Linked DNA regions of Sus scrofa. The protein of the gene in region 2 purifies or fractionates together with the protein of the main gene of each other region. This does not show direct contact. Links are inferred from orthologs where the notes say so. Each region holds a gene or a part of one and is shown on either strand. Other genes may lie near its edges. The genes, in order: DUSP6, MAPK3 and DUSP9.

The links.
Region 1: the proteins of MAPK3 (region 2) and DUSP6 purify together in Homo sapiens (affinity purification with mass spectrometry; 7 studies listed by BioGRID and IntAct, with this or other methods). This does not show direct contact. The link is inferred for Sus scrofa from reciprocal best matches to the Homo sapiens genes MAPK3 and DUSP6.
Region 3: the proteins of MAPK3 (region 2) and DUSP9 purify together in Homo sapiens (affinity purification with mass spectrometry; 4 studies listed by BioGRID and IntAct, with this or other methods). This does not show direct contact. The link is inferred for Sus scrofa from reciprocal best matches to the Homo sapiens genes MAPK3 and DUSP9.

Annotation. Positions count from the first base shown.
Region 1 is NC_010447.5:93,301,070-93,306,838, reverse strand, and holds the start of DUSP6 (dual specificity protein phosphatase 6), read right to left. Parts: upstream 3,782-5,769; 5' UTR 3,321-3,781; coding exon 2,921-3,320; intron 2,316-2,920; coding exon 1,878-2,315; intron 846-1,877; coding exon 538-845; 3' UTR 1-537. UniProt on the Homo sapiens protein: Dual specificity protein phosphatase, which mediates dephosphorylation and inactivation of MAP kinases. Has a specificity for the ERK family. Plays an important role in alleviating chronic postoperative pain.
Region 2 is NC_010445.4:18,292,775-18,297,237, reverse strand, and holds part of MAPK3 (mitogen-activated protein kinase 3), read left to right. Parts: intron 1-1,734; coding exon 1,735-1,924; intron 1,925-2,104; coding exon 2,105-2,221; intron 2,222-2,529; coding exon 2,530-2,644; intron 2,645-3,042; coding exon 3,043-3,174; intron 3,175-3,615; coding exon 3,616-3,725; intron 3,726-3,808; coding exon 3,809-3,931; 3' UTR 3,932-3,963; intron 3,964-4,463.
Region 3 is NC_010461.5:124,407,058-124,412,877, forward strand, and holds the start of DUSP9 (dual specificity protein phosphatase 9), read left to right. Parts: upstream 1-2,483; 5' UTR 2,484-2,702; coding exon 2,703-2,835; intron 2,836-3,016; coding exon 3,017-3,424; intron 3,425-5,232; coding exon 5,233-5,682; intron 5,683-5,820. UniProt on the Homo sapiens protein: Inactivates MAP kinases. Has a specificity for the ERK family.

The DNA.
Region 1 (5,769 bases), on a different chromosome or scaffold from region 2:
TCAAGGGATTTAAGATCAAATATTTACAATAATCAAATGGAGTATCAGATTCATTTGATTGCGTTATTATTTATTTTCATTTTTTGCAAACTGATACTACAAATACAGAGCTGAAACCTCTCTTTGGCTCCTCTATATGCAACATTGCATCGGTCTTCACTGAAGACAAGATAGAGTCAGTTCCAGACGCAAAAGGAAACAGTCATACGAGGCCCTAAAGAGCTCATGCTCCCACCTACCATTTGGTCCTACCCTATATACCTGGAAGTCCTCGAGTTCCAGTCCCTGCAGGGGTAGGCTGTACACATGGGTGTGGACCAAACCTACTGCCCCTATCTATACAGCATGGCCTGTTCTTCCAACGAGCAGGGAGCAAACCTCTCCCTTTGTAATAGCCAATTCCACACGTGATAACCTTGTCTAACACAGACAGCTGGTGTCATGGTGACACCTGGGGCCACATACAAAGAAAGCAGCCCAGTGGATGCTGCTAAGAGAAACTGCTAAAGGAACGGACACATCCCAGCGTGGGGCCTTTCACGTGGATTGCAGGGAGTCCACCTGGTAGACGTTCTGGTTGGAGGGGGTGGTGAAATAGAGCTGCTGGGCGGGGACGCGGTTGTCACAGGGGCTGCTGAGTCCCAGCGTCCTCTCGAAGTCCAGCAGCTGGCCCATGAAGTTGAAGTTGGGGGAGATGTTGGATTTCTTCATCTTCACAATGTCATAAGCATCATTCATCGACAGGTTGAGCTTTTGCATAAGATAAGCCACAGTCACAGTGACCGAGCGGCTGATGCCGGCCAAGCAATGCACCAAGACACCACAATTTTTGCCCCGGGCTTCATCTGGAAACACACAAAAAGAAAGGCAAAATGTCAGTAGACCGAAAACCACCCTTTGTGAGTGCTCAGTCTCGAAACTGAGTAACAGCAGTAATAATAAAGATAAAAAATAATCGTGTGTGGCAGTTGAGCCCTGCAGGCAGCAGAAAATGTATTCCTGCGATAAAACATGTACACTGGGCACAATTACATATTTCAGATATTTTCTGAAAAGGGAGCTTTTGTATTAAGTTTCTGCCAACAAAAAACTCCTTAATGTGTGCATTCTTTGCCTCAGCATGTGAATACCAGAAACCCTGCAATATGGTCGTGAATGCCTTTTATACAGACAAGCAGACTGCAAGGGTCTATTAAATTATTCTCCAACTGTTGTGCCGCTAACAATGGAGGTATTCAGGCATTTTAAAAGAGAGAGGGAAGTCACAGGGGACAGCCCATTAGGAGGAACAGGATGTCGACATGGCCTGAAAATGAGTTCCTTTGTAATAGGAAATGCATTACAATGCCTGGAGATTCGCTTCTCCAGGCTCTCGGCCCACAGTCCTTCCTGCTGTGCTCAGGTTACCCTCGCCGTCTCACTGCTAAGCAGTGTCACAGGAACGTCCAGCTGGATCACAACATCTAGCATTCACAGGGCTTTTGGACACCGTGGTGTCCTGCAACTCGAAGAGCTTTTAAAATTACAAAGCCATGCTAGAATTCCTGTCTACCCTGTGTACCTCTGGGACCCGGCCCTCCTTGAGTCCAAAGATGGGTGGGGGGGATTCTGCTGTCTCCTTCTGAGTGCCCTCCCCCTTTCCAGTGACTGAATTCCAGGTCAAGAAGCAGACAGCGTTTCAAATACACCTGTGGCCTGCCGCCTTGTCAAAAGGCCCTTTTTCTTAACAAGAAGCTAAGCGACAGAATTGAGAATGCCCTTGGAACGTAGAGACCTGCAGTCCCACAAGTTAGCAACAAGAAAGGTGAACCCCTCGAACTCTAGGAATGGTTCTGAATTTTGCATTTAAAAGGCTGCGTGAGGGCTATTAGTCTCACCTATGAAAGAAATGGCCTCAGGGAAAAACTGGGACAGGTTTTGGCTCCAGTGATCAGAGATGGGGATCTGCTTGTATTTGAACTCTCCTGCGTTCTCAAAGAGGTTCGGCAAGTTGGGGGTGACGTTCAAGATGTACTTGATGCCGAACTCCTCTAACACGTCCAGGTTGGTGGAGTCCTTGGCACAGCCCAAGTAGAGGAAGGGCAAGATCTCCACGGGGAAAGAAGGCTGGCTGTTGGACAGCGGGCTGCCATCGGAGTCTGTTGCACTATTGGGGTCTCGGTCAAGGTCAGACTCAATGTCCGAGGAGGAGTCGGAGCTGATCCGCAGGCCCCCGAGCCCCAGAACTGGCAACGGCGGGGAGCTGCTGCTACACGAGCCGTCTAGATTGGTCTCGCAGTGCAGGGCGAACTCGGCTTGGAACTTACTGAAACCACCTGCCAGGACGAGAAAAGCAATCTTGTAACCCGAGATACCGTAGTAGTTTTCACAGGTTGGAGAGCCGCAGCCGGGCTCAGAAACACACCACAGCACCTTACCCCCCCACCCCCCAAACACAGAGACAAATACAGGCGAAAGGCACTTAAAGGTGCACCCTTGGGAACAGAACGAACAGGCCCGCCTCCCCTGGGAACCCTTATTTTTTTGAATCCGGAAATGCACAAAATGGCAACTTTTCTGAGTATCTACAAGTGCCAGAAGGTGCCTGCCTGCACCCCCACGGCCTCTGCAGTCCTGCGAAATCTGAATTCAAAATCAAACGTAGAGGGAAAGTGGGGGATATGCCGGGTAGGAAAAAGAAGAGCTAGTTCCAAAGAAACGACGCGTGCCTGTGGCCGGAAGCGGGTCGATTCCGCGCGGGCCCGGCTCGCGGGCCGCGAGAGATTCGCCGCCGGGAGCCGGCAGACAGCTCCTGGCGCACAGCGCGGCTCTGAAGCGCCAGCCAAGCGCCACAGGGGCGCTTCCAGTCGGCGCGCCCCGCCTGCACCCGCAGCCGGGGTCCCCCGCCCTGCCCCAGGCGCGGGACGCCCCCGGCGCGTACCTTCTAGGTAGAACGCCCGGCAGCCCTCGTCCTTGAGCTTCTTGAGCAGCAGCCCGAGCACCGACTCGCCGCCCGTATTCTCGTTCCAGTCGCTGCTGCTCTCATCGTAGAGCACCACGGTGTCGGTGCCGCAGCGCCGGGTGAAGCGGTCCCGGTCCTCGCCGCGCGTGAAGAGCGCGCGCACCGGCAGGTTGCCCTTCTGCAGGCGCCGCAGCATGATGCCGGGGATGGCCACGTTGATGGCCGACTCGATGTGCGACGACTCGTACAGCTCCTGCGGCCGGCAGTCCATCAGCAGCAGCCGCTCGTTGCCCAGCTCCAGCTGCTCGTTGAGCCACGCTACCGTCTTGCTAATCGCCATCTCCGACGCGAAGGGCACGGGTCTGAGCGTATCTATCATGGGGGTCGAGCGGCCGGAGAGGGCGAGGTGCCTACCAGACTCCCCTCGGGGCAGGCATAGGCCGAGCGCGCCGCGCCAAAGCCGCCGCTCTTGGAGCGGGGTTTAATGCCACCTCTCCTTTCCCGAGCCGGGTTAGCGGTTGGGGCAAGCGAGACAGAAGTAAGCCGGCGGTTCCCTCTGCACCCGGCTGCAGCCGCACGCTCTTGGTGTCAATGAATCTCTTTGAATGAAGCTGCCCAGACAGTTTTGTTCCTCCCCGGTGAATGAAATCCAATTAATTCGGACTTCGTGCTACTGAGAGGAGAGGAAAAAAAAAAAGTCCAGCAGCTCCTGAGCCCTCCCTCCAAACTGCACCTCAAATCCACCCGGGCGGCTTTCTCCTCGGATTATTAAAGCCTGGATTTGCTCACTCTCCCTTGGACTCAGCCCTCGCACACCCCCTGCGCGAGGCAGCTCCTCAATGGATACAAACAGCGAGCGTCTCAATGGATACATTCTCCCCGCCAGCCAATGAGCACGCTGCGGAAGGGGCTGTTGCCGTGGGGACGGGCCGGCTGGAACAGGTTGTGTTGATGAATTGTTAATGAGTTTGTCATTCACAAAAACGGAAAGGAATTTCCGCTCCGGATAAGCCCCAGTGCAAACAAGCTGCAACAGCGGGCTCGGCGGGAGGAAGGAGAAAGAAGGGGAGGCGGCGGCGGAGGAGGAGCAGGGCACACAAACCAGGGCACTTCAGTTGTCTCATGTTTCCTTCTGTTGAGAGTTCACACTTAGCGTCGGAACTTTTGCGCACAAATGGTGCAATTAGCAGGCACAAAAGCCGTTGTTCGCGACGCCTGTGCGCGCAAGCTAGCTTTAGGGAAACTAGTGCTGACTTCTTCGCTTTTATTCCCTTTAAACTCCTTTGGACTGGAGTTCACTTTAACCTCCCCCTCCTCCCGTAGGCAGTGTGTGGCATTTGTTTGCCAGTTTAAAAAGCCCGGCTCTGTTTGCTTCGATGTTCTTTTAGCCGAGACTGTGTTGGGGCTGGTGGACTGCCTGGGCTTTAGTGACCGATGAGGTGTTAAATGCTAATCCAACATCTTTGGAGACAAACCAGGGTTTTGTTGAAACATTTTTAAGCAAGCAAACAAACAAATGCTTGGTTGTCCAGATAATAGAAAGCAAGCTTTTTTTTTTTTTTTAATAGCGCTTTAATTATTTTTTAAAAACCGTGGAGGCTGTAGAAACAAACTCGTTGGGCAATCCGGTGCTTTTATTCCTCTCAGGCGGCGTGGGGGCGTTATGAGCCATTGTTCCGGGGATCCGACCCCCTCACCCGCCGTCACCTACTGCACGCGGCGGGGGTCGCGCTCCTTCATCATTTCTGAGCAGCGAGCTCAGCTTCCGACAGAGGAGCCGGCCTGGCGGGGCTGCCTGGGCTAGGTGCACCAGGGCGTCCGGAGCCGGGCAGGCAGCCCCCACCATCCGCAAAGCGTGAGGAAGTCTTCCTGCGAGGCCGGCAGGCCGCGGGGGCTCAGGAGAGCTCCGCGCATTGCCTACTGTAAACCCAGAGGCTTGTCAGAGGAGAGGCCGCCCGCCCCCACGCTCGACATCCCGCGCGGGGTTACCCTCTTCCCTGCGCGGCAGCAGCCCCCTCCCCTGCGTCGCCGGCGACTCGCACAGCACCGCCCGCTCCTGCGCGTTGCGCTCCTTGCCGGCGCCCGCCGCCTCCGCCTCCGCGTTCAGCGGGCGGGGGCGCCGGGCGACCCCCAAGGCAGGTGGGGGGGCCCAGGGTGGGACTTGGGGGTCTGGGGCAGGTGTGGGCTAAGGAGGAACGCCAGCCGGGCCCCCCTCGCTCCCGAGGCGAGCTGGGAGTCCTGGGAAACGTCTCCGCCACGGTGCAGGGCTCGCAGGTAATTGGAGAGGTGCCGGGCAGGCCCCCTCGGCCGGGGGACCGCGGGGCAGGGCGGGCGGCTGGGGGCCGGATGGAGGCGTGGCGGGCCGGGGCCGCCGTGGCGGCGGGGAGGCGCATTCCCGGCGCGCAGAACTCTATTGTTACATACAAGCACCGGGCCTGGCGCTCCCGAGCGGAAAACCACCTGTGTGCGGCCGGCGCGGCGCGCAGGCGGGGCGGGTGGGGCTGGGGGCTGCGGCCGGAAGGCGCGGGCCCTAATCCGGCTGCCCCTCCCGAACCCGCGGCGGAAAAGAGGCTGCGCATTGTCCCGCCGCGGCGGCGGAGGCGGAAGCGGGGGCAGCGGCTCGGCGGGGAGCGCCTCTGCCGCCCCCCTTCCCGGCGCTGTGCGCCCACTGCTGTGTGGCAGAGGGCACCCGAGGTCGCGGGGTCTCCCCTAGCCAGACGCCCCGCACCCACGGGCCTGCCTGCCGGCGCCCCCGCTCCCATTTGCATTTTTAGTCACCCGCCTCTTCCCGGGTTTGAAGAATGTAGGCTAAAAAAAGGCGGCTGCGA
Region 2 (4,463 bases):
CAGTCCTCCACCCAAGAGTGGGGATTTGTACTGCAGTGTCTGCAGCCCCCACCACAAAGTGTGGGCAGGAAATCTCCATGCTTACCCCCAGCTTCCCGTGTGACCTTAACCAAGTCACTGCACCTTGCTGGGCTTCCTTATCTTTAAAACAGGGGAAGTTGCCGTCGTGGCTCGGCGGTAACAAACTCCACCAGTATCCAGGAGGATGCGAGTTCGATCCCCTGCCTCAGTGGGTTGGGGATCCAGCATTGTCATGAGCTGTGGTGTAGGTCGCAGACTCGGCTCGGATCCCGCGTGGTTGTGGCTGTGGCTGTGGCATGGGCTGGCAGCTGCAGCTCCCATTCTTCCCCTGGCCTGGGAACTTCCATATGCTGCAGGTGTGGCCCTAAAAAGCAGAAAGAAAAAACAACAACAAACAACGCAGCAGGGTTGGTCCGGATGTTCTCAGAAGGCCCTTTTGAGGCCGATTCTGACAGTCCTAATTTATTCTTCCAGAAACAAGTCATGTGACATTTCTTTATGTTTAATCTGTTTTATCTTAGGATCTAAAAGGACTCATATACCCCTCGATCTTCGGGTGTATGGCCAAGCACCCTGAGTAGGAGCCTGCTGTTGGGGGTTTCTCCTCATTTGTCTTGCACAAACCATGCCCAGAAGGCAGGCATTTATTTTTAAGCAAACATGTATTGCATGCCAGATGGTGTTCATACAGTATCTCATTTAACCTTCTCAACAGCCGTGCGGCTCAGGCTTTTATAACAGCCATACTAGTTTATGTTTGCCAAGCACTTAAAACATGCCTGGCGCTGGCTGGTGCTCCACGTGGATCATCTCAGCTTATCTCTACAACCCTCTCTAAAGAACAATTCCTTTTTTGTTTGTTTATTTGTTTTTTGGCCACACCAGTGGCGTGTGGAAGTTCCCAAAGCAGGGATCGACTCCAAGCCACAGCTGCAACCCACATGGCACCTGGGGTGACCCTGGTCCTTAACCTGCTGTGCCACAGCGGGAACTCCTCTAAAGAAGAGTTCTTTTCCCTACTTTACAGATGCGGAAATAGAGGCATAGATGGTCAAGGTCATAAGACCCATTAGCAGTGGAGGAGGGATTGAGATGCTGGCAGGTGACCTCCAGAGCTGATGCTCTTTTTTTTTTTGCATTTTAGGGCCGCACCCACAGCATATCAAGGTTCCCGGCCCAGGGGTCGAATCAGAGCTGCAGCTGCCGGCCACAGCCCACGGTAATGCCACATCTGAGCTGCATCTTCAACCTACACCACAGCTCACGGCAATGCCAGATCCTTAACCCACTGAGGCGAAGCCAGGGATTGAACCCGCATCCTCATGGATCCAGGTCGGGTTCCTTAACCACTGAGCCACAAAGGGAACTCCCCAGAGCTATTGTTCTTAACTGTGACGCTCTCCTGCCTCCCGCAGTGTATTGTCCTCCCTTTCCCAGTAGGGAAACGGAAGCCACGTAACTGAAGTGCTTTGCTCAGGGGTCACCAGCTGAGCGCCAGCAGAGGTCTTGAGCCCACCTGCTGAGTATGAGCCTTGCTCATATAAGCTGGCAGGTCTTTAAGTTAGGGTTAGGGTTAGGGTTAGCTGGCAGGTCTTTAAGTCCCAGGGGCATCAGCTGGAGGGGCGCATCCTAGTCACCAGAGCCTGTTTTTCTTAACCAAGTGCCACCTGCCGCCCCCACCTGGGGGGGGGGAATCTCTGGTACCACCTGCAGCTACATTGTGCAGGACCTGATGGAGACAGACCTGTACAAGTTGCTCAAAAGCCAGCAGCTGAGCAACGACCACATCTGCTACTTCCTCTACCAGATCCTGCGGGGCCTCAAATACATCCACTCCGCCAACGTGCTCCACCGGGATTTAAAGCCCTCCAACCTGCTCATCAACACCACCTGCGACCTTAAGGTCAGAGGGTTGGGTGCCCATCCTGCCCCTGGGTCTCAGGCTTCCCGGTGACCCGTAGCACCCAGGGGTGGCAGAGCATCACGAGCAAAGGGAACCGCACGGGCAGCGGCATGGCCCTGTGACTGCTTGGGCCCAGGCGGTCTTGAGCCCCGAGCTTTAGCAGCCTGGGTTGCCTTCCAGATCTGTGACTTTGGCCTTGCCCGGATCGCGGATCCCGAGCATGACCACACTGGCTTCTTGACGGAATATGTGGCCACGCGCTGGTACCGGGCCCCAGAGATCATGCTTAACTCCAAGGTAGCCCCCCCGCCCCCACAACCCATGAAGTGAAAGGGCCGGGTTCCAGAAAGCCCTGGAGTCGCCTCTGAGCCAGGCACTGACATCCCCCGTGCCCGTATGCAGGAAGTCCACCTCCCGGGCCTTGTCACCTCATTCTGGTTCTTGGGAACAAAACTGCAGATTAGCTTCTCTGGGCCTCTGCCCTCTGCCTCCCTGGCTGGCCTTGAACCTAGATTTCAGGGATGGGGGCGGGAGGTGGCTTGGCCCAAACAGCAGGGCCCTGTTGAGACTGGGGTGGGAGCCTGCCACTTTCTCCTCCTCCCCAGGGCTACACCAAGTCCATAGACATTTGGTCTGTGGGCTGCATTCTGGCTGAGATGCTCTCCAACCGGCCTATCTTCCCGGGCAAGCACTACCTGGACCAGCTCAACCACATTCTGGGTGAGGGGGGGCCTGGCCAGCTGGGTCGGGGCGGGGGATTAGCCTATTGGAGGTGAGATTTCTTTAAAGGTCAGGGTCAGTGTCCGAGAGTCTGTGAGAGGCAGGTCGGGGGGACCACGGTGTGTGCAGCCCCTTGAGCATTTCACAGTATTTCACTTGAGAGTGTCCCCCTTGGATAGATGGGAACAGCAAGACTACATCTGCCCCACACTTAGGAAAAGCTAGAGCTGGGATTTGAACCTAGGGCTGCCCAGAGCCAGACCTCTTGCTCTTTGCCAGCGCAGTATCGGCTGTGAGATAATTGTCGTCCTCGAGTAAGTTGGTAGGAGCGTTTGTTCTTGGCTCCTTTCGTTCCCAGAAGGAATAGGCTGCTCACCGGGTCACCTGCTTACCCACAGGTATCCTGGGCTCCCCATCCCAGGAGGACCTGAATTGTATCATCAACATGAAGGCCCGAAACTACCTGCAGTCTCTGCCCTCCAAGACCAAGGTGGCCTGGGCCAAGCTTTTCCCCAAGTCGGACCCCAAAGGTGAGAGAAGCGTGGGAGCCAGTGTGTGTTTGGTAAAAACTGGGTGCATGGAGTTCCTGTCGTGGCTCAGTGGTTAATGAATCTGACTAGGAACCATGAGGTGGCGGGTTCGATCCCTGGCCTCGCTCAGTGGGTTAAGGAGCCGGCGTTGCCAGGAGCTGTGGTGTAGGTCGCAGACGCGGCTCAGATCCCGAGTTACTGTGAGCTGTGGCGTAGGCCAACAGCTACAGCTCTGACTGGACCCCTAGCCTGGGAACCTCCATATGCCGCAGGTGCGGCCCTAGAAAAGGCAAAAAGACAAAAAAAACCTGGGTGCAGGGGAAAGTACATGAGCCCTGCAGCTGCCTGAGTAGACAGGCCGCTGGACACAGAGAAGCAAAGTAATGCTTCTGGGAGCTCCTCTGGCCCTCCCTTTGACCCCTGACCCCTGCCCTTCCCTAGCTCTTGACCTGCTGGACCGGATGTTGACCTTTAACCCCAACAAACGGATCACAGTGGAGGAAGCACTGGCTCATCCTTACCTGGAGCAGTACTACGACCCAACAGATGAGGTGGGCCAGCCAGAGAGGCAGGCCGGATGGGTGGGCACCCCTGGGTCCCTGTCCTGAGCCTCCCCGCCTCTTTGCCACCTCAGCCAGTGGCCGAAGAGCCTTTCACCTTCGACATGGAGCTGGATGATCTACCCAAGGAGCGGCTGAAGGAACTCATCTTCCAGGAAACAGCCCGCTTCCAGCCCGGAGGGCTGGAGGCCCCCTAACCTGGACAGATGCCTCTGCTCTCTGGGGCCTGGTGAGTGCCCCGCAACCACCCACGCCCAGAATCCCCCTGAGAGTAGGGCGCCCAGCAGGCCCCCACGCAGTCCCAAGCTTTCCCATATCCACAAGCCACAGGTGTGGTGGCAACAGAAGGACCAGAGCCAGCCTCGTCCACAGACCCGGTGGTCCCCTCCGGCCCCACACGTCTCCCATCTATCAACCCCTGGCAACTCCAGCCCCAGCGAGCGTTCAGAGGTCACTGAGGGCCCCTCCCACCCATCATGGAGCAGAACCAGGCTTTGGCTCCCCTTGGACGGGCAGAGAGGCAGGTGGAGCAGTAATTGCTTTGGGAGGAGCTGCCAGCACCCAGCCTGACCCATATATGCCAGGCCTTTTCACACTTAGTATCAGGTCAGCAGTTCACATACCTGTGGGGGACCCTGCCGGGCCTCCCCCCACCCCCACTCTTCTCTAGTTTCCCTTCTGTCCCAGGCCAGCTGCGGCCTGATAGCAGAAGGCGGACACCCCCGCGTT
Region 3 (5,820 bases), on a different chromosome or scaffold from region 2:
CTGCTGCTGGCGCAGCGGGCGCTGCTGGCGCCGGGCAGCCAGCGCTCACTTTCGAGATTGAATCCCCCCTCCTGAACGCTCTGTCCCCGCGGGAGGGCTGGCCAGCAGGGGTCTGGAGCGAGGCGCGGGGGAGGGCTCCCTTGGAGCCTAGCTTCCCCTCCCCTCGCCACTGCAGAAGTGGCCTCCCTCCTCCTCCTAACTTCCCAGCCTGGCTCTGGTCACCTCCCCCAGGGAGCCCTCTCCAGGAAGCACGCTTGGGCACCTCAGGAGCTCCCAGCTCTCCAGGGGTCCACGACCCTTCTCTCCCACCACACTAAGCCCCCTGGAGAGGGCCCTGGCGGGGGCTGCCACCCCCACTCCCCACAGCACTGCCGAGCCAGGTGCCCTAGGCTGGCACACTGACGGGCCCCTTGGTGCCTTCAGCCCCTGCCCACCCCTGGGCTCCTGCCCGCAGCTGCAGCAGGCCAGTGGGCAGGTGGCAGCCCAGCTCTGCCTCTGGGAGCTGGGATGTAAGAGAAAGGAAGTGCCCCCACCTGGGCACTGCGGTCTGGAGCACAGAGGAGGGAGAGAGAAGCCTGCCCCAGGAAGGTGCCTGGAGGGGTGAGGAAGGAAGAGTATTGGGACAGGCTGCAGGTGGGGGGGGGGAGGCTGAGGCTGGAGGGAATAGGGGCACAGCCCAGCTGCCTGAGGCGCCTGGCTGCAGGCGGTCCCAGACACCGGGACTGATGGGAGGCAGGGGGCCGCTAGAGGCCCCTCGGAGGCGCCCTGGCTCTCTGCAACCTGCGTTACCTCCCAAGTGGTCTCATCGGACTTTGTGGTCCCAGCGAGGAGTGAGCGTTTGGACTGAGCCCTCCTAAAGTGGCTTTGCACACTTCACTCCCTAGTTCCAGGTCTTGTGTGCATCGCTCTGCCTTCTTTTACTGAGTTCTTTGGGGTAGATTTCCCAAAGTGGCCAGAGGGTGTGGCTGGCATTTCTTCTTAGCTTTGGATGCATGTCACCGGATTAATTTCCAAAAGGGCCATACCAGCAGAGAACCCTCTAGAAACCAGCAATCGAGTGGCAGGCCGATTTCACAGCATCCTTGCCAGCACTGGGTGTTCTCATTTTGAGACCCCGTTCCCAGTGTAGCAGGTGGGAGGTGTTAGCCTGTGTTTGTCATTCACTCGCCTGCGGTGCTCTCCCTGGGTCCCATCTCCCCGCCCACGCGGTCTCTTCTGGTCCCTTGGCCATTTATCTATTGGAGCCTTAACCTTTTGATTAACTTGTATGAGCTTTATCTTATCTGCTGCACATTTTCCTTCGGCCCTGCTATTTGCTTTAGATGGGTTTTAAGCAGAGAAGGGACACAGAGCCAGACTTTTCAGAAAGCTCCCCCACCTTATTTCATTGTCTCAGCCCTTATCATGCCCCGTATTATCTTGTTCGGTCTCCCCGTTTATTGCCGGCCTGTCCCGCTAGCCGCTAGCCGGGGCGTGCCGGGCGAGCAGGGGCCAGTGTGTCCCGTCTGTTGATCCTCCTGTGTCCATGGAAGGCTTGGAGGCCCCCCGGCCTTCGCTGAGTGGATAAGCTGCGCGGGACGGTGCCGAGGAGGTGCGAGGCAGCCGGGAGGTAGGGCAAGGGCCTTGGAAGCTGTGAGGATGCCCTGTGCCAGGGCAGGGGGGAGAGGGGACAGCACAGGGGCGGGAGACATTGAAGTCGAAAGTACGCGGCTCTTGCCGAGAAAGGAGGCAAAGCCAGAAGCTGGGGCGGCTGCCAGGATCCATAGCGCGGGAAGAGCAGAGCTGTGGGCCTGAGCAGCAGGGGTTTTGGGTGCTGCTTCCTCCTCCCCTCCGTGATTTCAGGGGCCTCCCCTGGTAGCCCAAGGTGGTGGCTCTGATGAGCCTGTTATGTAGACAGGGCCACTCAAGGCCAGTCAGGGCTCAGGATAGTCCCGGGTCCCCCCAGATGAGTAGAGCTGGAGGCAGCCTCTGGGGCAGGGGCGCTGGGCCCTTGTCCTTACCCCTCCCCCTTCCTCCAGGGGCCTGACTGGCGCCGGCCGGGGGAGCTGCAGCTGGTCCCCTGCTGGGCCCCTGACCTGCCCTTGGCCTCTGCCCTGGCCCTGTCCCGCTTCGGTGGAAGCCCCGGCTCAGCGCGCCACTTGCAGGGCCCACTCAACTGCTTTCACTGGCACTCGTTGGCTCGCTGGCCCCCTGAGCCCGCCCCCGCCGCCCCGCCCCTCTAAACGGCAACTCCACGTCCAAAGGCAGCGGCTTCCAAGGTGGAAGCTGGGTCCTGCTGCCAGGAAGCGGCCAGTGTGCCGGCGGTGGTGGACTCGGCCTCCACGTGCGCGCCTGCTCCGCCGGCCCGCCCTCTTCCCAGTGGCCGGGCCCGAGGACACCCTGCCCGGGGCCAGTGCCCCACATCCTGCGGTGGCCGTGGCTGGGACGTCCATGCACGGCCGCTCGCCGCCGGATCACGCTCCAGGTCTCTCTCCTTTTGTTTCCTGCGGGTTGGGGGAGGCAGCTCCGAGAGGTCCAGCCGAGGTCCAGCCCCCCCCTCGGCACCACCTCTGTTCCCCAGGCTGCCTGGCCACGGGGGGCTCTCGGCCTCGCCCCCCTCAGGCGAGCGTGCGCTCACACCCGCCCCCAAAGTTGGAAGCCAGAAAGTGGAGAGAGTGCGTGCGGGCGCGGCGGGCAGGCGGAGTGAGAGATGCGGAAAGGGGATGTGGGGGAAGGTGGCTGTGGCCTTGGGCCCCCCAGGAGGAGCCAGGACGGGACACGGCGCTTGGCTCTGGCTCTGGAAGGGGCCGTTGGACGCCCAGCTGCCCTCTTCTGCGGGACCGAGGAGCAGCGCGGGTATTTGTCTAGGGGCGTGCCAGAGGAGGATTGGGCGGTAGAAGGGTGTCCCCGGGGGACCCCAGCCTCCCGTTTTGGGGACACGGGGTTGGCTTCACGTCTTGGCCCCTGGGCCCGCGGCCCTTCGCGGCCGGGCGCGAAGGACACGGGCTCACGTCGAGCTCCTTCCCTCTCTCTGCAGCTCCTGAGACCCGATCTGCCGGGAGCCGGGAGCCCATGGAGGGTCTGGGCCGCTCCTGCCTGTGGCTGCGCCGGGAGCTGTCGCCCCCGCGGCCGCGGCTGCTGCTCCTGGACTGCCGCAGCCGGGAGCTGTACGAGTCGGCGCGCATCGGCGGGGCGCTGAGCGTGGCCTTGCCCGCGCTGCTCCTGCGCCGCCTGCGGCGGGGGAGCCTGTCGGTTCGCTCGCTGCTGCCCGGGCCCCCGCTGCAGCCGCCCCCGCCCGCCCCAGTGCTCCTGTACGACCAGGGCGGGGGCCGGCACAGGCGCGGGGAGGCAGAGGCCGAAGCCGAGGAATGGGAGGCCGAGTCAGTGCTGGGGACCCTGCTCCAGAAGCTGCGAGAGGAAGGCTACCTGGCGTACTACCTGCAGGGTAGGTGCGGGTGGTGGCCCGGCGGGCACCAGCCTGGGGAGGACCCTGGCCCAGGGGAAGCATTATGCCTTCTGAGGGCAGTCATAATTCCTTTGACCTTGGGCGAGTCTGGCCTCATTTTGTCTAAAGTGGAGGTGGGACCCTGACCGTAACCTTGGGGAAGTCCTTCACTCTTGGGAGCCCCCGTTTCTGAGCCTGGAAGATGGGGCGAATCGGGCCGGCCTCCAGAATAGAGGATCCACGGAGGTCCCGCTGCGGCACAGTGGGTTCACAATCTGGCTTGTCTCTGTGGAGGCACTGGATCCATCCCCAGCCGTCACAGTGGCTAAGGATATGGTATTGCTGCAGCTGTTGCTCAGATTCCCTGGCCCCGGGATTCCATATGCCTCGGGTGCAGCTGAAAAAAAGAAAAAAAAAAAAAAAAGGAGTTCCCCTTGTGGCTCAGCTGGTTAAGAATCTGAATAATATCCATGAGGGTGCGGGCTCAACCCCTGGCCTCACTCAGTGGGTTTAAAAAAAGGAAAATAAAAGGGAGTTCCCGTTGTGGCTCAGCGGTAACAAACCCAACTAGTATCCGTGAGGACGCGGGTTCGATCCCTGGCCTCGCTCAGTGGGTTAAGGATCCGGCATTGCCGTGAGCTGGGGTGCAGGCCACACACACGACACGGATCCCGCGTTGCTGGGGCTGTGGTGTAGACCGGCAGCTACAGCTCCGATTGGACCCCTGGCCTGGGAATCTCCACTTGCTGCAGGTGCGGCCCTAAAAAGACCCCCCCCCAAAAAAAAGGAATAGAGGACCCAGTGTGGGCTCCGAGCCCTATCCCCACCTCCCCCAGCTGCTCAGCCATGGGCAAGGGAGGCAGGCGCTGGGACAAATCCCACTCTGCAAAGGGTCTGGAGAGGGCAGAGGCGGGGAGAGAGGGAGAGAGGCAGTGAAGGCAAGAAGAGGCAGAGACCTGGCCCCCCTATAGTCTTGGCAGGGCTTGGGGGTGGAGGGGAGGTGGGCTGATGCAGGCACACTGGCTCCTTGCCAAGCCAAACACCCCCAGAGATCCAGGGTAGCAACAGGATGCCCATGAACCTGCAGAGCCAGCTGCCCCCCCGCCCCGCCCCGCCCCAAGGAGGTTCGTTGAACCGTCGTCACTTGCTCCATTCTGAGTGCACCAGGATATAGAAATACAGAAAACACTGCGTTTCCAGCCCCCCCCCCCCCCGCACCCGAGGAAATCGTAGTTATTTGCAGGTGGAGGTGTGCGCCTCTTGGGACTTTGGGGCCATGCAGGCGGAGTGCTACACTCTCCCAGGCCTTCTGCCTCTTGGGGCCCCAGCTTCATCCCTGGAGGCAGCACAGACATGGCTGTCACCTGGTCTCTGCCCTCGAGTGCTCCCTGGTCAGGCTGGATCGGGAGACACCCAGGCAGAGAACTCACATCCGACCGTTTCCTCTTCTTTAACTGATGGCTGCTGTCCTCCCCAAGGCTCTCAGGACATCTAAACTCCATGGAGCCTTCCTGCCTGCCTTGGCTCGGCCCCCGGGGTTGTTATAGCCTCTTGGGGTGCCCTGCCTGGGCCTGGCATCTTGCAGCGGCGGTGGGCGCTGGTCCTGAGCCAGCATGGCTGGGCTGTCCCTAGCGCACCACCCGGGACAGCAGGGTAGGTCAGGCCGCTGGCCTGCAGGTTCTCTTTGGAGACGGCTGCGAGCCCCTTGGGGCACTGAGATGGTCCGGGCTCGCTTTCCTCTCCTCAGCCAGAACACTTGGCTGCCCAGGAGGCCAGGTCCATAGGACCCTCCCCTTGTCCCCTCCTAGGTGGCTTCAGCAGATTCCAGGCCGAATGCCCTCACCTGTGTGAGACCAGCCTCAACAGCCGTGGGGGCCCCAGTGCAGCCCCGGTGCCCAGCCCCGTGGTGGGGCTGGGTGGCCTGTGTCTGGGCTCCGACTGCTCCGATGGGGAATCTGAGCCCGACCGCGACTCCATGAGCTGCGGCCTGGATTCGGAGGGCGCCACGCCCCCCCCAGCAGGGCTGCTGCCGTCCTTCCCCGTCCAGATCCTGCCCAACCTGTACCTGGGCAGTGCCCGGGATTCAGCCAATGTGGAGAGCTTGGCCAAGCTCGGCATCCGCTACATCCTCAACGTCACCCCCAACCTCCCGAACCTCTTCGAGAAGAATGGTGACTTTCACTACAAGCAGATCCCCATCTCGGACCACTGGAGCCAGAACCTGTCCCAGTTCTTTCCTGAGGCCATCGCCTTCATCGGTGAGTCCCCCGCCCGCGCCTTCCCTCTGGCCCTCGCTCTCGGGGCTCCTCCGCCCTCGGGCCCCCGACGGCCTCGAGGGGCCCTCCGGGAGGCCGCCCGCGCCCGCGCCTCACGGCCGCGCTCTGCCCCCCCCCGCC